Oryzias latipes: one gene and its partners. The protein of the gene in region 3 purifies or fractionates together with the protein of the main gene of each other region. This does not show direct contact. Links are inferred from orthologs where the notes say so. Each region holds a gene or a part of one and is shown on either strand. Other genes may lie near its edges. The genes, in order: sympk, ube3d and cpsf3.

Evidence for each region.
Region 1: the proteins of cpsf3 (region 3) and sympk fractionate together in Homo sapiens (co-fractionation; 6 studies listed by BioGRID and IntAct, with this or other methods). This does not show direct contact. The link is inferred for Oryzias latipes from reciprocal best matches to the Homo sapiens genes CPSF3 and SYMPK.
Region 2: the proteins of cpsf3 (region 3) and ube3d purify together in Homo sapiens (affinity purification with mass spectrometry; 4 studies listed by BioGRID and IntAct, counting the BioPlex papers as one, with this or other methods). This does not show direct contact. The link is inferred for Oryzias latipes from reciprocal best matches to the Homo sapiens genes CPSF3 and UBE3D.

What each region holds. Positions count from the first base shown.
Region 1 is NC_019879.2:16,686,113-16,693,237, reverse strand, and holds part of sympk (symplekin), read left to right. Parts: intron 1-55; coding exon 56-121; intron 122-232; coding exon 233-286; intron 287-384; coding exon 385-458; intron 459-554; coding exon 555-681; intron 682-778; coding exon 779-1,028; intron 1,029-1,137; coding exon 1,138-1,308; intron 1,309-1,395; coding exon 1,396-1,635; intron 1,636-2,306; coding exon 2,307-2,458; intron 2,459-2,537; coding exon 2,538-2,688; intron 2,689-2,811; coding exon 2,812-3,034; intron 3,035-3,113; coding exon 3,114-3,264; intron 3,265-3,381; coding exon 3,382-3,617; intron 3,618-3,705; coding exon 3,706-3,787; intron 3,788-3,883; coding exon 3,884-3,997; intron 3,998-4,061; coding exon 4,062-4,209; intron 4,210-4,295; coding exon 4,296-4,456; intron 4,457-5,148; coding exon 5,149-5,257; intron 5,258-5,393; coding exon 5,394-5,494; intron 5,495-5,583; coding exon 5,584-5,674; intron 5,675-5,937; coding exon 5,938-6,039; and 7 more. UniProt on the Homo sapiens protein: Scaffold protein that functions as a component of a multimolecular complex involved in histone mRNA 3'-end processing. Specific component of the tight junction (TJ) plaque, but might not be an exclusively junctional component. May have a house-keeping rule.
Region 2 is NC_019874.2:4,397,288-4,405,523, reverse strand, and holds the start of ube3d (E3 ubiquitin-protein ligase E3D), read left to right. Parts: upstream 1-3,817; 5' UTR 3,818-3,996; coding exon 3,997-4,085; intron 4,086-7,560; coding exon 7,561-7,769; intron 7,770-8,153; coding exon 8,154-8,236. UniProt on the Homo sapiens protein: E3 ubiquitin-protein ligase which accepts ubiquitin from specific E2 ubiquitin-conjugating enzymes, and transfers it to substrates, generally promoting their degradation by the proteasome.
Region 3 is NC_019882.2:22,752,072-22,760,224, forward strand, and holds the start of cpsf3 (cleavage and polyadenylation specificity factor subunit 3), read right to left. Parts: upstream 4,450-8,153; 5' UTR 4,393-4,449; coding exon 4,322-4,392; intron 2,301-4,321; coding exon 2,237-2,300; intron 2,162-2,236; coding exon 2,064-2,161; intron 1,988-2,063; coding exon 1,859-1,987; intron 1,472-1,858; coding exon 1,294-1,471; intron 1,220-1,293; coding exon 1,130-1,219; intron 406-1,129; coding exon 255-405; intron 169-254; coding exon 1-168. UniProt on the Homo sapiens protein: Component of the cleavage and polyadenylation specificity factor (CPSF) complex that plays a key role in pre-mRNA 3'-end formation, recognizing the AAUAAA signal sequence and interacting with poly(A) polymerase and other factors to bring about cleavage and poly(A) addition.

The DNA of each region.
Region 1 (7,125 bases), on a different chromosome or scaffold from region 3:
GTTAGCCTCTTATTGTAGCGTTGTAGAGACTTACTCTGGTTCTTTCTTTTCTCAGGTGGTGGAGCTTCTGAATCAAGCTTCTCTCATACCCACTGATGAAAAGCTGACTGCTCTCAAACAGGTTGGTAGTGTAAATCTGTGCAGTTTAGATGACTGCTACACAGCAGCACCGACTGAGGTGCTGATGAGGTGGTTGTAAGAATTTGAAGTCACGCGTTTGAATTTCCTTTAGGTTCAAGAGCTCATCATCAACAAGGATCCGTCCCTTCTTGACAACTTTTTGGATGTAAGTAAGCACCTGCCTTTCATGGCAAAGGAATGGTAAGCGTGTAAGTTAAAATCGGCCCAGTCATGTTCTTGTATCTTGCCAATTCTATTTTACAGGAAATAATAGCGTTTCAGACCGACAAATCAATAGAAGTGAAAAAGTTTGTCATTGGATTTATAGAGGAAGCATGGTTAGTTGTTTGTGTCAACATTTTACATCTTATACACTTTTAAATGTATGTATATTTATTGAAACTCTTTTTTTTTTATATCTATTTCCCAACTAGTAAAAGGGACAATGAGCTCCTTGTTAGACTTATCGCCAATCTAAACATGCTGCTGAAGGATGAAAGTGTAAATGTGGTGAAGAAAGCCATTCTGACACTCACTCAGCTCTATAAAGTAACATTACAGGTATGCACCTTAAAGTCACTCGCATAATTTCCTGCTAAAATAATAGGAATACGGTGTTTTTATGTTCCCACATCTTCTGTTGTTTCTTTTCTGCCAGTGGTTGGTCAGCTCAAAAACACTGTCAGAAATGCAGGAGGCATGCTGGGACTTGATCACTCAAATGAAAGGGGAAGTGTTGGCCTTGCTGGACTCCGACAATGATGGTGTTCGCACACACAGCATCAAATTCACAGAATCTTTAATCATCACTCTCTCGCCGCGGACACCTGACTCTGATGTACCCAAACGCCAGGATGCTGACATTAGCCTTGACAAAGTTCCCAAAGACCATTCGTACATTCACTACGGTAAAGATTTTAGAACTCTCTTTTTTTTTTCTTTTTTTTTTTTTTAAACAGGCATGTTAAAATCTTTCTTACTGCAGGATAGATTTATTACATTCTGTTGAATCAACAGGTACTTTGTGTGAAGAAGGAAAGAGTGCACTGGAAAAGCTCTTAAAATTCATGGTCCACCCAGCTATATCCAGCATTAACCTCACCACTGCATTGGGTTCTTTGGCAACGATTGCCCGTCAAAGACCAATGTTCATGTCAGAGGTGGTGCAAGCATATGAGACCCTCCACGGTGAGTGCTTCTTAGTCAAAAAAATATATATTATCCCCTTAACATTATTATTAAGGTGCAATCATTAATATTTATCTTTTTTTCTAGCTAACCTTCCCCCCACTCTGGCCAAATCTCAGGTTAGCAGTGTTCGAAAAAACTTAAAGCTGCACTTGGTGGCAGTTCTCAAACATCCGTGCAGTGTGGAGTTCCAGGGTCAGATCAGCACTTTGCTGCTGGATCTGGGAATGCCTCAGACTGAGATAACTCGAAACACTCCTGTACCACGAGAGCCTCGCAAGAGGCCTCGCTATGAGCAATACACAGAGGGAAAGAAGGTCAAGATTGGTGAGTAGTTCACCACAAAAATGCAGACTGCCTTAGAAAATAACATTTTTATAAAAAAAAAACAGTCTTTAAAGGACTTGTTGAAAGATTACGAGTGTTTGTTTTCTTGCCATCACTTGCAGAGGCTGTAACTTTGCTTTACTTAGTTTTTCTTTCTGCACAGGTTAGTCTCTATTGCAGCAGCATCACACCCAGAGATTCTTTAGATTACTGTGTGGTGACTCTGTAGTTTTAGATTGACTAATAGAAATAGAATTTTAGATTCAAAATTTTAGGTTATTCTTGCTCTTTTCTTAATTCCCCCACGGTTTATATTTTAATGTTTCATTTTGTGCTATCAGTGTGGATTATAAATTCACTATGGATTTGTTTTAATTTGTGACAACAATTACAGACATTTTTTGAATTTAAAACATATTTTGGGTACTCCGATCCCGTTTCATTACAGGTTTTCTTTTCTTCTTCTTTTTTTATTCCAATAATGTTGTTTTTGGGAATATTCTGAATGAAATTAGCATAACTCATGTCTAACCATATTTGGGCATCGGAGGCCTATAAAAATTGCTTTTGCAAAGACACATGGTTTCTTTATTTATTATGGTTTTTTAAAATTGCTTTTGCAAAGACACATGGTTTCTTTATTGATTTATGGTGCGTGTTCTACTGTTTAGAACCAGCTCTTATGGAAGATGATGAAGACAAGGAGGAGCCAGCCCCCCTCGCAGCCCCCAAGCCAGCGGCCGTTCCAGCCGTGCAGTCTGCCCTTGACCTTACGGCCGAGTTCCTTCACCCGCTGCTAACTCCTGAAAATGTCGCCAACCTCGTAAGTGTCTGAGATCATTCTCAGGCTGTCTTTTTTTCTGAGGGTTTGTGTCCTAAAACTCTTCATTACCTCGGTTTAGGTGCTCATCAGCATGGTGTATCTGCCTGATGTGATGCCAGCATCTTTCCAGGCCACATACACACCTGTTGAATCTGCAGGTACTGATGCGCAGATTAAACATCTGGCCAGGATGATGGCTACACAGATGACTGCAGCTGGAATTGGTCCAGGTGAGCATCACAAACGTGCACCAGAAACACTTCATAGTAAAAGAAAAAAACATAAAACGAAATAAGAATCCTCAAAGATGCTGGTTTGTCTTATATGAGCATTTTCTGAACTTTGAACCTTAGGTCTTGAACAAAGCAAAGCAAAGGGGGATGAGGCTTGCAAAGAGGAACAGAGCGAGGAAGACTCTACTGCTAAAGACATTCTCATCAAACGCAAAGTTCCTGCTGTGATCTTGGGCCAAGCCATCTCTGTGGTCGGAGGTTACTCCGAGAAGCCCTCTGCTACGGAACCTCCAGCCGCACCAAAGAGGCTTCCAGAGCCCATCCTTCCATCTGCACCAACCAAGTGAGTTCTAGCACTTCATTCAGACAGCAAAGAGGGTGAGATCTCGCTTGTCACCCCGCATGATTCTGGTTCTTTACAGGTTGATGGGGGCAAGCGGTAGGAAAAAAGTGTTCCGCTTGTCAGATGTTGTTCAGCCTCTATCAGACACCCAGAATGAGAAGTTGACTTCAAGCGCTGTGAAGCGCATTTTACATTCAGAGAAAGCGATTGCACAAAGTGGAATGTCCCATGTGAGTAACCCAAATCAGGATACATCTTGACTTTAACGAGTGCAGGGGGGTTAAAACTGGATAGGGTCAGTCTATTTCCTTCCTTTGGGGTATAAGAATGTAAAATCTGTGTTGCAGATCAGAGTAAAGCTCCTCTCCAGACTTGTGACACAGTTTGAAGGAATGATGAAAGAGGACGTACTTCAATTTATTTTAGAGGACATCCGGTCAAGGAGTGATCTGGCCTTTTCTCTGCTCTACCAAGAGTATAACACTTACCTCAGCCAGCTCCCTTCAGGCCTGCTGGACAGCTATGATCAGTGTCTTTTCACTCTGCTGTCAGGCCTGCAGGAGAAGCCTGAGCAGAGGGATGGGTAAGAACACATGCTTGGTATCAAGATTTGCTACATTGCTTTGGTTGCTGTGTATGTATAGGAAGATTTGTGTGTTCCTTATTTCTAGGCTTTTCACCAAGCTGGTACTGGAGGCTCCCATTATAACCGAATCTGCATTAGAAGTAATCCGGCGTTACTGTGAGGACGAGGTAAAAAAACAAAACACAAAAAAGCCCAGCTGTACTCCGGTGGCTACTTCTCAACCTTTCCTTCAGCATTCTGTGAGCCATTTCCTTTCGTTTCAGTCTCGCGTATATTTAGGAATGACAACTCTGAAGGAGCTCATAGTCAAGCGGCCCTCCAGGCAGTTTCAGTATCTGCACGTGCTTCTGGATCTCAGCTCCAACGAGAAAGAGAAGGTGATGCTGGGATGGGCACGTGTCTGATCTGTTCTTGTGCTAAATATCTGCTCTTCCATTTCAGGTGCGCACCACTGCCTTGGCTTTTCTGAAGCGCATGTATGAGAAAGACCAACTGAGGGATTACATCGAGAAGTTTGCTCTAAACTACCTGCAGCTTCTGGTTCACCCCAACCCGCCATCTTTGCTCTTTGGAGCCGACAAGGATACAGGTTTGTTCATAACATATCTGACTTATGATTGTGATGATGCGATCTTCACATTTTTGCCTCAATGCTCTTTGCATTTGTTGACACAGAGGTGGCTGCCCCCTGGACTGAAGAGACAGTGAGACAGTGTCTTTTCCTTTACCTGTCCCTGCTTCCTTTGAACCACCGGCTGGTCCACGAGCTGGCTTCCGTCTACACTGAAGCCATTGCTGACATCAAACGCAGCGTCCTCCGAGCAATAGAGCAGCCTGTAAGGCTTTCCTCACTCATTTGTTTAGGAAAGTTTGGGTTGTTTGAGTCATAAGCAGCGTGAAACATAAACCAACCCCTCAGAATAATAATAAAAAAAACAATTTAACAGTCAAACTTTTTAACTTTATGGTTTTGCCTAAATCACGCAAATTAAAACAAAACATAAAATAAAATCAGAGTTCATGCTTCCATTGATGAAATGATGAGAATGTTTTAATTGGTCAGCAGTAATGCCACTGTAATGCAGGTTTATTTTAATTGTATTTTGACCTATTTATGGGTTTACCATTATAAACTTCAGTACATGAGTTAGTTTGTACATTCCATCAGAAAAAGAAATTATTCTACTACTTTTCCTTTTAAGGAAGTGCCTTTAAACACCAATTGAAATGTTTTTGTGTACATCTTAAATTAGTCTAAATTTTTTTGTTTGATTTCATGTTTCAACAAAAATTTCCTTTTTTTCTCCCTATTTTCAGTTTTTCTCTACATTCTTGAAACTTCTCACCTCACACCTCTTCCTTATGAACAAAAACAAACAGTTTGAGAGCAGAACGAGATATTAGATCTCTGTACCTTTTTAAAGTCTGATGAAGGGCTTTCACAAGACCTCAAGAAAATCAAAAAGGAAATGATTTGAACTAAATCATTTGAGTAGTTTGTGCTTTTTGATTTATCTCTTTGCTTTAGATTCGTGGAATGGGGATGAACTCTCCAGAGCTGCTACTGCTGGTTGAAAATTGTCCTAAAGGAGCAGAGACTCTGGTCACTCGCTGCCTGCACATATTGACTGATAAAGGTAATGTTTAATTTGTACTGGATTTAGGTCACAGAGTGGAGATTTTTCTGAAAGGAAAATGTATTTTTGCATGATTTGGTGCATTGTCCTCCATGAGAGCGTACAATGAAATATGTGGAAACTGTCTTTATTGTAGTGCCACCATCACCAGAGCTGGTGGAGAGGGTGCGAGACCTTTACCACAAAAGAGTGCCAGATGTTCGCTTCCTAATCCCCGTCATAAATGGTCTTGAAAAGGTGCCAGTCTAGTTAACAGTCAGTGAATCAACCGCTAGGATTTTTCGGGATTGTCTTTACTATTCCTGTTTGTTTTTGGTTATCTATAGAATGAAGTCATCCAGGCTCTCCCTAAACTCATCAAACTGAACCCGATTGTTGTGAAGGAGGTCTTCAACAGACTCTTAGGAACTCAGCACAGTAAGAGCTATTTTTATCTAATGTTTGCATAATTCTTTGAATCCATGCTTAATTTTAGACATTTCTACTACACAAGTCCAGCCCAATAGCAAATTAAGCATATATTTGATTAAACATGTTAATTAAATCTTTAATGCTAATTTCTTACTTTTATTTATGAAAATATATTTACTTATATTTGAAACCAGATCCATTGTTTACTGCTGAGCTTTATTTATAGTGGTAAAGGTGACTGGTGTTGACCCTTGGTCCTGTTGTTGCAGGTGAGGGAAGTTCATCTGTTTCCCCTCTCACTCCTGGGGACCTGCTCATTGCCTTACACAATATCGACTCAGTCAAATGCGATATGAAATCTATCATTAAAGGTCAGTGATCAGAGACACCTGAAACAAAAATGATGACAGTTTGGTTTTTAAGATGCTATCAGACATTCCCTTTGTGAAAGCCATTTTTCCTTTGATCTTCAAGTCTTTACCAGAGGTTCTCTAGGAATTTTGGGGACCTTGTAAATCACATCCTTGACTGTTTTTATACATACTTTCAGTCATGTTCTTGTGCCTGACAAAATTCTTCTTCTTTTTCCACTCATTTGTGCCAATTGTGTACAAAGAAACCAAACACTTTTGGATTTATGAACCTTGCCTGTTTGGTTTTTCCTATGTATTTCTGCTCCAGCTACCAACCTGTGCTTTGCGGAGAGGAATGTTTACACCTCAGAGGTCCTAGCGGTGGTGATGCAGCAGCTGATGGAGCAGAACCCTCTCCCTATGCTGCTCATGCGCACTGTCATCCAGTCTCTCACCATGTATCCCCGACTGGGTGGATTTGTCATGAACATCCTGTCGCGCCTTATTGTTAAGCAGGTTAGCTCTACGAAAGAAAAAGCGTCCAATCCAATCAATCTTTTTTTGTACTTGCTGTGCCAGTAAAAAATATTCAGGGAAGTAGGCACTGTTTTCATTACCATCTGAAAGGTTTGGATGTTTTGTCCTGTAGGTGTGGAAATATCCCAAAGTCTGGGAAGGTTTTGTTAAGTGCTGCCAAAGAACCAAGCCTCAGTCGTACAGTGTACTGCTCCAGCTCCCACCTGCACAGCTGGCTAGCGTGTTTGAACGCTGTCCGGAAATGAGAGCGCCTCTTCTGCAGCATGTCCACTCCTTCACACCTCATCAGGTTAGAACCCGGCTTAGTCCTTTCATTTTGTCTGTGTGAACATTGATTTTGTTTTAACACAGTGCCTTTCTCTGAAACAGCAAGCTCACATACCTTCCTCCATCATGGCTGTCCTGGAGGCCCATAAAAAACCAGAGCCAAGTCCTGTGGAGAAAGAGGTAAACACACTTGTATCTTAATAATGTACCATCTGTTTTGAGTTTATGTTTTTAAAAAGATTTGTCTGGCTTTGCCGCATGCATAGAGAGGTTTTTATGAGAAAATCTGATTCATTTACT
Region 2 (8,236 bases), on a different chromosome or scaffold from region 3:
CGCTTTCTAACTTCTTACGAAGGCCCAAAGCGCTTTACAGTCACAGTCCCATTCACCCATGCACACACACATTCACACACTCATTCACACACTGATGGCGGCTCCGCTGCCAAACACTGCTGCCAACCTCCCACCAGAGGCAAGGTGGGGTTCAGTGTCTTGCCCAAGGACACTTCGACTCATGGGCGTGCAAGGCGGGAATCGAACCTGCAATCTTATGATCATGGGTCGACCGCCCTACCGCTGCACCACGCCCGCCCCAATCAATCAATTCATCCAGTCACACACACACAATCACACAAACCCATTCAACTCCGCTGCCAAACACTGGCGCCCACCTACCACCAGAGGCAAGGTGGGGTTCAGTGTCTTCGACTCCTGGGCGTGCAAGGCGGGAATCGAACCTGCAACCTTACGACCGCCCTACCACTGCACCACGGCCGCACCACGGATGCCCATAAGAACATACTAAAAAGCTCCTTTTCAATAGAGTGGGTTTTTCAGTGAATGAAGCAGATTGGAAGCAAAAGCGTAGTCTGGCTGTTCTACTGGATGCTTCACTGAAGCTTCCCTTCTCAAACTGCAGCTGAGATCAGGTCTTGCCTCACATGAACTCCTTTTGTGAGAAGCTGGTTTCAAATAGCTGTTCTGCAGGAGCTACAGGAAAGAGGAAACTCAAACGGCTCTGTGGGTTGCTGCGTTGCTAAAAGCAGCTTCAAGAGGATGGATGCACTCACATACTAGAAAGCCCGTGTTCAATAATGACACTCAGAAGCGCATTTTAATGATGCTTGGCTGACTAAGAAGATTACACAGAGATTTCCCTAAATCCACTACTAGGATGTTTGGCTGATGACAGCCAACTCGATTGCCATCTTTTGGTTGTCTGAAGCAAATAGAGATGTGTCCATGACATCACTGCGTGCTTTATCAGGCATTTTCACCTCAGTTTCCTGCTTATGTAACATGAACTTGGGCTGCTGCAGCTTCTCTGCTTCAGGGTGTGATGGTCCCTCACTCAGGGATGCTCTCCACCTCATGTTGGTGCCATCAGCTGCAAAACTGAATCAGTTTTATCACTTCAAACCAGTTGAACCAGTTTACCAAACGAACCTCTGTTTGGGACTGAGTAACGAGTAAACTTTCATTTGGTGTACAAACTGTTCCGGTGGAAAAATACTTTGAACTTTTCCCTGAGAAGATGCATTATTTGACACGGGTCTTCATTATTTGCTACATCAATGTTGCCTAAGAGACGAAATGGAAGTTCCTGTTTTTGGATTGATTTGATTTGTTTTTGTCTGTTTCTTTATTTGAATGATCTGCACTGAGTTAGAGCGTAACCACCATGCTTTCTTTTAGCTTCAGGTTGGTTTGGATTTTTCAAATGCCTCGACTTACAAAAACCTTTTACACCAAGTTTGTCATGTGCTTTAATTAAAAACCTATTTTTGAATCAGAGGTGCTACAGATGAGACAGACATCACACCTTTGAGCTAAACTGTTTGGATCTAGCTTTAGGTTATGACAAAGTGGAAACTCGCTTTGATGACAGTTTTAACTGGGACCTGGTGATGTCATTTGAGCTGTGGGCGTGGCCTGTCAGGTGAGTGTGGATCAGGTCTCTGACGTAAAGGGTCAGCCAGGCCAAGTGCCTGAATCTTTCATAAAGTGGAAGAAACTGAAACTCTGAAGGCCTCCACTTGACTCAACTGTTCTTGACTTTATTGTATTCCACATATTAATGTTTCGGGAAAGAAATGAACAGGGAGTAACAACAACAACAACAACAACAACAACAACAGAGTGTTTTCATCAAATATAATACTCCCCCGCCCGCTATTCTATTGTTGTGTGTAGACCTTAGAAAAGGCTGCTTAAAGTCGTCCGTTCTACCAAATAACCAGTTGTTAATTTCACTTCGACCCGTGCCATTTTAAAGCGTAAATTTAAAACAAAAACAGTACAAAAGCCTTACCGTTTGGGGCTGTCATTCAATTCTTGCATCCGCTTCGATAGGTAAACACGGCTGCTGCTGCTGCTGATGATGTGACCGTGATGATGAGCAGCTAGCCGTTCGGCCGGGGCCCACAGCCGAGATCAGCCTCTATAACAACACCTGGAGCCCTGAGAGAAACACTGTGATGACAAACCAAAGGCGCTTTTCATCTACATGTTCCTGTTTCTGCCTAATGTTGTCCTAAAAGAAAACCTGAGGTGGACGTTCTGTTCCTCCCGTTGCAGCACATCTAAAGCTAAAGGGCTGACAGTTCCCAGACTGCACTGCAGCTCGGCACTGCGTTCGAGGGCTTTTCCGCGTGGAAGTCTGCGACAACCAATCAGCTCCGGGTATGGTGTCACGAGCGCAAAGGTTACGCCCAATGCTCCAGGAAATCGCACTCCGTGCCTTCATGATAAAATCCTATTTTCGCACGAAAAAGTCTCCAATAAAAAAAAACATAAACGCAAGAGTCTATTTTGGATTAACAAATTCTGTCAATTTTTAAACTTTTTTTCTCCTTTATCTTAAAATGTCCTTTATCTTAAAATGGGCCCTAAGAAACGTTCAAATCAATTGCCCTTTAAACAATCACTTGTTTTGATGAAAATGGTGTTTTAACATGTTCTTGTGCCTTTTTTCTGACGATGGCAGACATATATTAGGAAAATTAAGTTTAAAATTGCCCTTCTGAGTATTTCTCCGTTCAAATATTGTGACTCAGGAGCAGGCAAAAAGTGTCTTTGGAAAAGCTTGTAGTTGTGACATAGAAGCTACAACCGGCATGCCACAAGCTGCCTGCTCCGCTCCATTCTGATGCAGACAAACAGATCCATGTCTGTCTTGTGTTTCCTCATCTGAGCTGGAATCTGGCTCAAAGCTGTACGGCTGGACTGCTCCAATATTGCTTGACATTTTGTTGCACCAGTAGTATAGGTTGGAGTGTGATGGGCTGTAAGCTAATGGGTGAGAGTGTAAACAGAGAACTCTCAGTTATTAGTAATAGGAAGATTGCTTTTTGCCAACGGTCCAGCCCACAGTTTAGAGGAAATTTGTGATAAACTACTGCCACTCTGCAGAAACTATGTCCTAGAAAACAACCATTGTTTTTTTTTCTCCTAAAAATGGATAATCATAATCCAAAGACCACGGGAAATACCTTTAAAACGGATCAAAAGATGACTGGAATTGGACTTTAATTCCACAAAAGTAAATAGACTGTAGAATTAGCCTCAGCATTGCAGTCCGTGTCCTTTTTTTCCTCTTGGCCCTAGGTCTTAACTGTTTAATATCAGCTGGGGAATTTTTTACATGTGTAAAGTGCTCCAAGAGTCAAATTCTACTTCAAGCAAATTTAAAGATGATCTTACATGTGTACAATGCATGAAAAGTGTGATTTGAAAAAACTTTAAAAACAATGATTCAGACGTTGTTCATTATTTCATTATTCACAAAAAATAGATGTTAGCAGTTTTAACAAAATTAATTACCTTTATGATGTTTTTCCCCTCCAATAAATAAATGTGGTCCAGGTTAGATTTTACATTTACAATTGTAAGTAAAATATATTATTATTATTATTATTATTATTATTATTATTATTATTATTATTATTATTATTATTATTATTATTATTATTATTAATTTTATTTATTCATTTATTTATTTAAGAAAAAAACATGGTAAAATATAATGCCCCAATGAGCTGTTATGAGTAAGCCATAATTGTTATACCATCTAATCACACTGCTTGGACAACTAATTAATTTTGTAAACACGTCTTTTATTTTGAAAGTCATTCCCGGATGTTGAATGCTACTACAGGAAAACCAAGACACAAAGCTCTGTGCAGATGGTGCAAACACGGGACTCTTCCTACTACTAGCCCATCACTATCCTCTATTCCTTAGATTGGACTTTACCATCATAACTCACATATCCGGTCATCTTTGGGTTGTTTTTTTTGTGTCGATCCCAAAGCCAAGGATCTGCTAAACATGACAGAACTCACGTCATGCAAGACACGTGGAGTTGGAGTCTTTTGGGAGCTGAGGAAACGGCTCCTGAGTGGACTTCTTATTGTCAGGTAATGTCAACGAAAGCCGACGTTAGCTATTATGATAGATCTAGTTACCTCTGAACTCCTGGACTGTGAGCCTGAGGTTAGCTGCTTAAATAATCCGATGTTGAGTCGCTAAAGTAAAGAATTAAGACTGATCATCACGTTATTGTTGAATAAATCATCAGTCTTCTATAAATGAACCAGCTTAAAGCTGTTAGGAAACCTGGACCAGGGGGACTTGATCACATTTTCTTTTTTATCTATGTACATCTAATACTTTGTTTGAAAAGTTAACATTGATGCGCATATTCATTGATAAATTTAATTTCACCTGATCAATGAATCAAGCAGAATATCTGAAAATGTCGTTTGAAGTCCACAGCAGGCAGCTTCATTTGACCTCTGCACTAAATATAGCTAAATAAATCAGTTTTAAGATTGAATCAACAGAACAATGCCATGAGAATCTGGATGTTGCTGAATGAAAGGATCAGTCTTGAGAACCTTGCAGTTTGGAGAAAACATGGCTTCCTGCTTCTCCAAAGAGCACGTGAGCGTCAGTCTTCTTCAGTCTGCATGAACTGATGGGTTGTCAGTACGTATGTTTCCATACGCATGGTCCACCAGCATACATTCATTCATTCATTCATTCATTCATTCATTCATTTTCTAGCTTCACAGGGCTGCTGGAGCCTATCCCGGTCACTTTTGGGAGAAGGCAGGGGACACCCTGGACTGTTCGCCAGTCTGTTGCAGGGCCACAATCAGACACCCATTCAGTCTCACACTCACACATAGGGACAATTTAGATTAACCAATTAACCTATGAGGCATGTTTTTGGACAGTGGGAGGAAGCCGGAGGCCCCGGAGAAAACCCACGCATGCACGGTGAGAACATGCAAACTCCACACAGAAAGGTCCCCCGTTGATGGGCTGTTTCAGGTCCCCCAGCCGGGACTTGAACCGGGGGCCTTCTTGCTGTGAGGCAAGAGTCCTGTTATTAGTAATGTTATGTAATCTTATTATTATTATTATTATTAGATGTAGTTTTCAACAAAGACCCTTCAATCAATTTTCTGCCTATTTTACAACTTTCCAACCAAAATTAATTTTATTTTAGAAAGAACATTTTCATACAACTAGAAGGAGCTGCAGAAAAGTGCAGGGTTGAATGCTATATTGCTGACTGAAAATTAAACTTAAAGGGTAATAATTTGACCTTCTAGACGTGAGGGAGCTTTGTTTATAGAAGCTGAAGGCTTTTTTCCTCCGTCGACCATATGACTTCACGCCACAGCGGGGGAGATTGTTGAAAGGTAATTCAAAAAAACTGTCAATTGCATAATCTCAAGACGAAATTATGTTGTTGTCCAAAGTCCTGTGAGCGTTTTAACGTTGTAATGGTGTCTGTAGCTGAAAGAATGCCAAAGTAAGGAGCTATGAAACAGGGTGAACTTTGGTGAAAATGTCGGAAGCCTCTCCCATTGAAACCCATTACAAAGCTGAAATTACTACAAAGTTTAAAGGCTTATATTTCAAAAACGAAAAAAAAAACGTGAAAATCTGAAGCTTAAAGTATGTTGAAGTTATAATGGAAGAAAGAAGGAAAAAAAGGTTTTTGAGGATTCCCCATTTATTTTAACGGAGGCAAAAATCCTGGAAATCTTGAAAAGTTCAAGGATTTGAAGGACCAAAAGTCACAACTGGAACGAGCTGAACATTTTAATAGACGAAAGTTCAAAATAGCATAAAAACTGTAGAAGTTGAGCGTCCAAAAATGGCAGAAGATACCATAATAAAGAAAGAAAGAAGGAGAAACAGGAAAACAATGGGTTGAATGCTTTATAGCATTCAACAATTATTGTTTTATACTAAAGAAAGGAGCAACCTTTGGTAAAGAAATTATAATTACATCTAAAAAGTAACTAAGGGCAGTTTTTGCCTAAGTAGGATAAAAATGACAAAACTGACTTTAATTTCTAGGATACGATCAGTGATATTGAAGAACCAATTCTTTAAAAACCCAGCATCTGCTGTAACATAGAGAAAAATGCTATAAAATGTCTTTATTTTTTCTGGTAGAAATAAAAACATACCCCTGGCATGATATGGATTACATCTAGAATATTGAAATAATAATAATAATAATAATGGGAATAATGTTAAAATGATCAAATTAAATTTACTAGTCAAAGCGGTGGGTGCAGTACACCTGTTGTGCCTCTAGATGGAGTAGATCTAAAGATATAAAAAAAATCTTCAGTTCCTAGAGGACTTTCCAAAAGCATTGACCTTCACAGAGCTCAGCACTCTGCTACCACATGTACTTCATTTGTTTTCCCAACAGCTGAGAAGTCCTGTGGTCTCCTGGGAAACCATCCACTGTACATGAAACCACATAAAAGTCCACCCTAGTTCATCTTCAGTCATAGTAGGAGTCTGTCCACCTTTGCAAACAAACAAATGAATAAATAGGAATACTTGTTTGAATGCATTGTTCTTTTGTGACAATGTTTTGTCCCACATTTTCTGAAATTCATAGATTAGGACATGACATTTTAACAATAGGGTTTGGATGTGGCTGTCTTATTAATCACCGCGGGCGAGACTAATTACAAATCCGTTACAATAGTCCATTTTCATTTGGCAGGAGACAAATGCTGCCTTTTGTATTTTACATAACAGCAATAATTGCTAAACTGTCTTTTTTGTAAAAGCGCAAAAAAAAAGAGAAAATAGAATTTTCTGATTATAATAATAATAATAATTATTATTATTATCATTATTATTATTATTATGATTAGGGATTAATATCTTTATAGGAGTTCTATGGCAAAGTATTAAACTATTACAACCTGATGCAGCAGATGTACGTCACATTATCCCAAAAGAAACTGCAACTGTCATAGTTTAAAACAAAGTTAGAGGAGAGGAAAGCTGCTCTTTTACGAGCCAAAAGCCCTTAAATGTTTGCTTGTCGTGTTTTGTAGCTTTTTCCTGAGGTTCAGGAGAAAGACGTTCAAGCGGAGAACTTTAGATTTGACAGATTCTTGGGGGGTTTCAGGCAGTGCCAGACAGTGTAATGAGAGCTGGAGAAATCAATAAATCATTTCATTCATTTCTCAAGTCGCTGCTCTGTTTCCCTGGAGTCTGGAAACATTTTTTAGGGGGAGGGGGGTGATTTATTAATTAATTGTTGAAATGAATGCATTTGAATGAAATGAATTTAGTTTTTATGTATGTATTTTCACTTTTAGTCTGACATTACGATCTCAGACTCTTGCATGTCAATTTTTGATTTAATTTTTTAAAAAGGCTTTTTTTTTTTAGAGCTGCTTGTAACTTTTTACTTTCCTTCAATGAAACAACGGTTTATTTTTTCCACTATTTTTCATGTTTTGCATTTGGTATGTGTTGAGTCTTCTCTTATCGGCTGCTCTAATCCTGTCTGACTTAAATCTGATGGCCAGTCTGCGTCTCTGCCTCCGTCTCCTGCAGGAAGGAGGTGGCCGGAGCTGCTGATGATGTGCTTGTAACCGGAGGAGGGTCCTCTCTTGTGGTCAGGACTCCCAGAGGGCAGCTGGAGCTGGCATTGCCCGCTGGAGTCAGCTTCACGGAGGGGTCCTGCATCCCAACACCTGGAGAATCCAGTGCAGAGGAGCTGCACTTCAGGCTCCGCATCACTGTTGAGCAGAGCTCTCATAAAGGTAGAAGTCCTCACATTTAATTGGAGCCACTCATCAAAGTACTTGAAGGTATCCTATTTTGCACTGAGCATCATTAAAAACCAATAAGCAGCCTCTTTATCTGCCATGCCAGAACTCCCTTTAATTGGTCTGAAGTTTTTGAGCAGCGTCTTGTAAACGCTCATCTTTTGGCTTCACCTGAAATGGTTGTCACTGCCATCGAAACAGAAAGTTATGGCTAAGGACGGCGTGACAGTCCCATCAGATTTAGATTGATCATCCGCTGCACATACAGGTCACCCCGGCCACTCCCGGTTTTATTGATTCTCCTGCTCCGTACTTGAAGGTGAGCTCCCTCTCAGCACACCTGGCTCATTTGTTTTGCTTGGCTTTGGCCCTTCACAGAGGCGTCTGACTGTGTGACGGAGAGTCTCCGAGCAAAAGAGACGTATTGCTTCTACTGCCAGGGCTGCATGACCCGGCTGCTG
Region 3 (8,153 bases):
TACTGATGTGTTTGAAGACAAAAGGGTTGTTGACGTTGATGGCTTTGCGGATCTTGTCGTTCATGGCGTTGATGTAGGTTTGATAGACAGCCATGCATTTCCGGGCCAGAGACGAAGCGTAGTAGATGGGAATGTCGTGGAGCTCTGGGTGGTTCTGCCAGTACTCGTCTGGACCACAGGCACAAACAGTTTCTGCGTCACCATCATCACAGGCTTCAGAACCAGAAGGTGATGATCTGTGCCTGTGCACTCACCCAGGATGAGCAGCAGCTCTTGAGCCCGTCCCAGAGCAAACACGGGGATCAGACAGCGACCCTCCCTGTTTACAATGTCGTGCACCGTGTTGCAGAAACGGGCCTCTCTCTCCTCACGCTTCTCATGGATGTGTGTTCCATAGGTGGATTCCTGACAGAAAGGATCAGATATTTGTTCAACACCATTCTGAGACGGGACAGAGGACCCAATACTACCAGACCAACAGACTATGGAGACGAAAAGCTCTTAGTTTAGAATTCATTAAAACTCGGTATATTCATTTAATGAGTAAAACAAAATTCTCAATAACTCCTACGGTGTTTTTGCATTAATAACATGAGCACTTTCCATCTAGAGTCTGGTGTCTTTTGGCTGCGTGTTTGGACAGCTCACAGGTCTAACCGCCCTCAGAAGCAACGTTTTTGTGACATTTGAGACGCCGTGCGCTGTCTGCATGTACTTTAGAAAAATCCAGCCGCACTTTGGACCCTTTGCTCGCGTCGCTCTGCCATCACTGTGCGTTTGTCGTTACACACTTGTTAGCAGTGGAATACATGAGGGACAAAGTATGAGCAGCCCCCCCCCGTCGTACTGGAGCAGGAAAGGAAAAGCAGCCACATTCAAACAAAGTAGTGCACGCTGTGTGGGCGCTGCTGCCCCACTTGGCCGGTACCGTTGATCCCATTATGGCTGAAACCTATCAGTCCAGTAACTGATGACGTGGCACTGGTACCAAACGATACCGTTTCAGTACTGCATCCCTACTGATGTCTGAACATGAGACAGCATGAGACATGAGCCTGCGCCTGAGCTGGTCACTAAGGGGAGGAAAAATATCTGATCATCGGGGGGGGGGGTTTAAAGCCAAACTCACTGTGATGAGAATGTCTGGTTTCACACTTGGGATCTCCGCCGCCATCAAGTGTCTGTCCTCTTGGCGGGAGAAGTCTCCTGTGTACAACAACTGCAGGGACACAGACAAGCACTGAGCACCAGAGACAAACCGCTTTAGGAAGACGGATCCAGACACAAACCTACCTTGACTCCTGCGATCTCGATCATGAACATAGCGGCTCCAAGCACATGGCCAGCATGATAGCACCAGAACTTGATGCCAGCCACCTCCTTTACCTCGTGGAAGTTAATGGTCTCAATCTTTTCCATGCTGTCTTCCAGGTCCGTCTCCGTGTAGAGCATCTCATCAGCAGAAATGTTACTGCAGACACACAGACGGGTCAGAACAAAAAACCCAAGCTGTGCCCCAACTCCAGAATATCAGCCACAGGTCCTACGGCATCACTAGAGAACCTGAAGTAGCTGCATTAACCCTTGTGCTACTTTAGATGACCCCCCCCCCTTCCAATGACGTGTTCTCCCTACCATGACAAAGGTGGATAAAGGTGGAAAGATTTCATGTAATCCATGGACACCAATGAAGATCACAAATCATTGAAGAAAACAGGTTCAGAGCACTGTCTAGTGGGTCTAGATGACCCAACTCCCAATGTTAAAGTGCCTAGGATAGCACAAGGGTTACTAAGACGTCTAACCTACAGGATCTGCTGCATCAGACCTAAGACTTTCACTCCAACACGAGTTGTACCTGACTTTGATGTAGTCTGACAGCAGCCAACGATAGATGGCTTTGGTGGCATGCGTCATGAACGTCCGCCCTTTAAAACTGGTCTTCTGCAGAAACCAAGGCAGGGCTCCGCAGTGGTCCAGGTGGAAACTGTACAACAAGAATGGATGGTTAGTGGAAAGCTGCATGTGCACCTTTGCACACGTTCACGGCAGCTCTCACTTACTGACTGATGAGCAGCAGGTCGATCTCAGCCGGATCGATCAGGTCAATGTACGGCAGGGCGTCCATCCCCTCCAGACCAGGATGGATCCCACAGTCTAGCTGGAGTACCAACACACAGACAGCTGTTGACAATGTTAACAGCTGCTGTGACAAAGAAAACCAAAAGAATCTCACCATGATCTTCCTCCCTTTGAACTCCAATATGATGCAGGACCGTCCCACCTCTTGTCCAGCCCCCCTGGTCACAATCACATCAAACAGTCACACAGTAAAGAGCTGTGCTTACTCATGAAAGTACCCAAACACAGTGCTTAGACCAGGGGGGTCCAACTCCAGGCCTCAAAGCCCAACCAGAAATCCTGCCTTGTCTGGAGCTCATGACCTGGTGGGTTTATCCAATAAGGAGCTTCAACGGCAGGTTGGTTGGGTCCTCAGTCATGATATAAATACAGGGTTGTGTCAGGAAGGACACCTGCCAAACCACCTGTGTGAATCAGTGGAAGCTGATTGGCTGTGGCGACCCTGAAGGGATATGCCGAAAGGTGAATAACAAGGACAGGTTGGTTGGAAAAGATGGTGGACATCGGCCCTCGAAGTCTGGATCCTCACACCCCTGACATAGACTTTTAACTCAATGACAAAGAATGGGGGCACTTGTGGATCAACGTGATCAAAACCTCTGTGGACCGGTCCTCAACTACTTGCCCAAGTTTTTCTACCTCCTTTACATTTTTGTCACTGTAATTAGTCATTTCTCCTGTTGGGATGTGCAACGCTGCAGCTTCACCTCATACAAGACCAATGGAGAGAACTTAGTCTGGACTGGAGAGGTTTGATACTTCTCACCCTCCTTGTGACATGGGGGAAACTCAAGCCGCAAGGACTCCAACCATGTGGGGATAACTGGCCAACTGTTGAGCAACAATCCAAAGGTGTCAGGCACCAATGAGTCTCCCAAACAGGTCAGAGTCAGCTGTCAGGTTGAATTAATTCAATTCAGCTATAAGTTAATGGGATTTTTTTATTTACAATAACGCTGGTTGTAAATTGTAAACAGCAAATTGTGTGTGTGACTGGGTGAATGGGTCTGTGACTGTAAAGCGCTTTGTCCTTGTAGGAAGAAAGGCGCTATACAAGTATACGCCATTTACCATTTAAATTAAATGAATTTTCATTTAATTTAAAAAAAAACTAATGGAAAAAAAATCTAACTCTGCTAATTTGTCCTTGGAAAGCCGGGAGCAAAAGAAACAAAATTCCCATTTTGGGTTTTTCAGAAACCATAAGGTGGTGTGGAAACTACTTTGACTGAAATCACTACCAACTCAAAGTTTAATCATTCAAATGTTTAGGAGACTCAAGGCTCATCGATAGAAAATTAAAAAAAAGCAATTTGAAATGCAAAGGTTTTGTCTAAAAAAGATGCACCCGCATCACCAGGACATCACTCACTCACTCACACACCCCAACCCCCCCCCCCCCCCCCCCCACACACCCACACACACACACCCACACACCCCCCCCCCCCCACACAAACACACACACCCACACACACACACACACACACACACACACACACACACACGGCATTCTCCAAAACTCAGCAGGAAACTGAAGCTTCATTATTATGTTTTACTGTCGAAACCAAAGGAATCAGCTACCTGGAATCACACGTTGTTTGTTTGTTACAAGTTAATTAGGAAAAATGTTCCTGCATGTTATTTTGAAATATTTGATCGTCAACATCAAAGTTTGTTTCTCTCTGGTGACTTCCACCAGTGACTTAAATGTCCTACAGCACTTGAAAGCAACACTTCCATAAACTAATTTGAATGAACGTGAGCTTTGATTTCCTGCTGTCTTTCTGTATCTGCAACAAACGTCATCATAGTTTAATGTTTTCATTGTGAAAATTAAACTATTATTACATTTGAGGTGTTTTTGGTGTCTTCAAACATTGTTTCTCTTTCGGCAAAAGTTGCACAGTCTTCAGCATCATCATGTTCACATTCAGAGCTCACGCCTTTAAAGGTCCAGAAAAGTGGAAAAAAATGTATCTGCAGCGGGATGACAAGCCAACATTTTTTTTAACCTGGCAAATCCACAGAAATTATGAACGTATATTAGAAAGCATAATAAATCTCGCTCAGTTTAGACATGGAGCGGAAATGCCCATTTAGGTTTGACCGCCAGTGTCCGTTGTTATTCGGTGACGGCTCACTAGCTGCAGTGTTCGGTGGGTTCGGTTCGAACACTCACAGGGGTCGGATCAGCAGCTGGTCGCTCTCTTCAGCAGGAACCATCGCGTCCACCCTGCGTTTGGACGCCATGTTTGCTTCTTCAACGATGCCGCGCCTGCTGTTACTTCCGGTTCTTCCCGAAAACTCTCCGTGCGACACAACGCCTGTAAGTTCCGCCCCCACTATTTCTTTCTTTCTATTTTTTTCTTTACAAACCAAGTACAAAACCAAATAAAAAACAAAAACTAAAAAAATTCTTAAAAATAGGTAAATATAAGGCAAAAAAACAATTTAAAATAACAATAGTTTGGATATATTTCTGTACATTTATGTAGTTTCTTGTTTTGGTTTGAAATGCATTTAGGAAAGAAACTTAAAGTAATACAATATCTGAAAAATAAATAAAAAAGGACCCCCCCCCCCCCCATTTACATACCTAAATAGAGTGTCTACATCTACACAAAATAATAACAAGATTGATGACATCAGAAACGTTCAGGTTTTCCATAAAGAAGAGAACATTAAGTAATGAAAAAGAAGAAATATTACAATTTTTAAGTGACAATTGATTATGAATAATTTTATCTTTTTGCAACAGTGTTCTAATTTTTCAGTTTCAGAAAATACATGGTTTGGATTGAAATTTGAATCTTTTATGTAAAAAATCTCCAACAGGGTACATTTTTGATATTATTTAAAATCCGTTTCTTTCATTTTAGGTGAAAGTATTTTGTGTATAAAGAAAATGATTAGTCTATCAAGGTGGTTTCTGGGTCACGTCTATTGTGAGAGAAAAACCTTTTGTTTAAAGGTTAGAGTCACTAATTTATTTTTGCATTTTTATCTTTTATGGGGATATCATTAATGGTTAACTCTGCAAAGTGTGGTTTGATTGCATGGTAATATTTTATGAACAAGATTAAGTAAAGGTATGAGAATTACTTTAAAGACTTTTTTATAACAGCAACTAGAATCCTTAATTTTGTATTTGGTTACAAACCCATTGTAGGATAACAGCATTGCATCTGTACGCACCAAGTCATGAACAAAAAACACACCATCATCACACCACTAAGACATAAACAAGGATATCTTGTTTACAGTTACTGTATAATTCTGTTGTCCCATAAAACAGTATTGTGGGGGGAAAAGTTGTGGGAGTTGTTGGCATTTTCCCAAATTCTAATGCTTGCTTGTAAATGTTTGACTGTATAAATGTTTTTTTGACAGATCATATTCACACTTCTGCAAAAGGATAGTTCTCCGGTAGAGTTTGTTTGGGATATGATACCACATAGATTTCATACGATACCAATTTATTCTAAATGCTACACTTTGTAATTCAACATCTAAAGCTTTTGAGCCATTATTATCTATTATCTCTAACCAATTATGGTTTTAGTAAAAAGTACGTTTTATTTTTCCAAATAAATTTAAAGAGAATAGAATTAGACAACTTGATCGTTTTTGGGGATGCATAGATTGAGTGGCAGGGAAACACAAGTCTTGAAAAACCTTCTGCTTTAGATAATAGATTGTGGCCAAATATGGATAAGTCACGTCCCAACCACTGATTTAAAGTTTCTATATTGTTTTCAGTCTGGGGGTAATATTTACACTTTCTCTATCATTACTGTTTTCTGTCATTATTAGACCAAGATATTTCACTTCACAGGTTATTTTCAATATTACTTAGAGTGCAGGTATGAATAGGCAAGATTTCCCATCTTTTGAGATTTAGAATAAGGCCAGATGCTCTTGAAAAAAAAACATTTTATCAATAACAATATATACCACACACACACACACACACACACACACACACACACACACACACACACATATATATATATATATATATATATATATATATATATATATATATATATATATATATATTTTTTTAATAAAGCCGTGTCATCAGCAAATTGATTCATTTTAAAATTCTTACCTAAAATGTTAATAAACGCAAAATCTGGAGAATATTTCAGAAAGATGGCTATAGTATTCAGCTGAGCTTATAAACAACAACAGGCTAATAGGACATCCCTGGCAAACACCTCTATTTACAGGAAAGCTGTTTGAGAAACCTCGGTTAAGAATAATTCTGCTATTTATGTCTTTGTAGATCATTTTTTTTTATGTTTCAAAATTTTGATTCAAAGCCATAGGTTTCCAAGGAGCTAAACAAAAATGCGTGTTCTAATGAGTCAAAGGCCTTAAAAAGAATCCAGAAAGAGGATAAGACTATTATGGGGGATAATTTGGTTGTAACTTAAGATATCTAAGATTAAACAAGTCTGATGATGAATGTGTCGCCCCTTAATAAAGGCTGACTGTGTTTCATCTATGATCTGACCTATTCCTGATTTCACTCTGTTGGCATAGACATGTGCTCATATTTTATGACAACAGAGAAGTGTGATGTGTCTCCAATTTTCAGTTAATAACACACCGTTGTCTGGTTTTGCTAAAAGGGATGTAATGCCTCTTTTAATGTTTGTTAATTCCTTGAACGCCTCTAGCAAAAAATCTTTGATGTTATTCCAAAAGTGTTTATAAAACTCAGCTGTAATTCCTCAGGTCCTGGTGACTTCCCACTGGCCATTTGGGGAACAGCCGTATCAAGTTCAGGTGTGTTCAGATTCTGTGAGATCTCTGAATTTCTTATTTTAGATATTTCTGATCTATTTTAGATCCTCTCTGGTTCTGAATACATCTATTTTAGGGGTTTTATCCCGAATTAACTTTTCAAAGAAGATGTTGTGACTTGAAAAGTGAGAAGTACAAAAGTTTTTTAAAAAGTTAGTGATATAATCCTTAACCCTCAAGTGACCGGGTGGGGTCATTTATGACCCCAGCCATATAATTGAATGTGCCAGATCTTTATTTTTTATCCGAATTTTTTTTCCTACCATGAGTTTGTCAGTCTACTAATCCTACACAGTTTCATCGTTTTTTGCAGGGATCAGGCAATTTGTGTGACATCACAACTCTTGTGGGGTCATTTATGACCCCGAAGAGAAGCACTGGTTTTTAAACATTGGTTTTTCAAGTTTATTAAAATGTTCCACTTCTAATCAGTACTTTATATTGTGTTGCAGTGAACCATGGCCAACAGACCTAGGCTAGCAAGATTTACAGCTGCTGAAGCAATGGGACTAATACTTCAAGCCCAAAGTGATGATGAAAAGGGTTAAGGTTAGGGTTAGGGTTAGGGTTAGGGTTAGGGGTTAGGGTTAGGGTTAGGGCTAACCCTTCTCAGAGAGCTTGGGTATGAACTAGTGAAGCCACATGTATAGAAAAGGTCACAGTTTCCAAACCTCCATAAAGCAACTAGGGAAGGAATAGCAAGCATTGGTGTTGGTCCTGCTAACCCTGCAGAGCAGCCCGCAGTTGCTGCAATACCTGGCAAACGCAAGCGCTGTTCGTTTTGCCTACGCAACATTGACAGGAAAGTTTCACGTGCATATGCTTCATGCAACCAGCCAGTGTGCCCAGAACATAGCCACAAACAAGTGGTTTGTAGTACATCGCTGAACTTCGTTTCAATAGCTTTGAGGGAACTTGTTTTCATAACTGGGTATCTGCTTTTGAGAGTTACAATTTTCAGTTATTTTTTGATATCATATTACACATACACAAACAAGATGTTTGTGTGGTTTTTGTTTTAAAAACAGGCATGGTAGTAACATAGGTTGATTGAATGTGTTCTGAGTAGGTTGACCTCCTTACCAATTTTAGCATATTCCCTAGTCAGCAAGTCAGCTAATTATTTTTGTTGATGTTAGCAGTATGCTAGCTCAACATAAGTTAAAATATTTCTACTCAAACTCCTCTTTTTTATAATG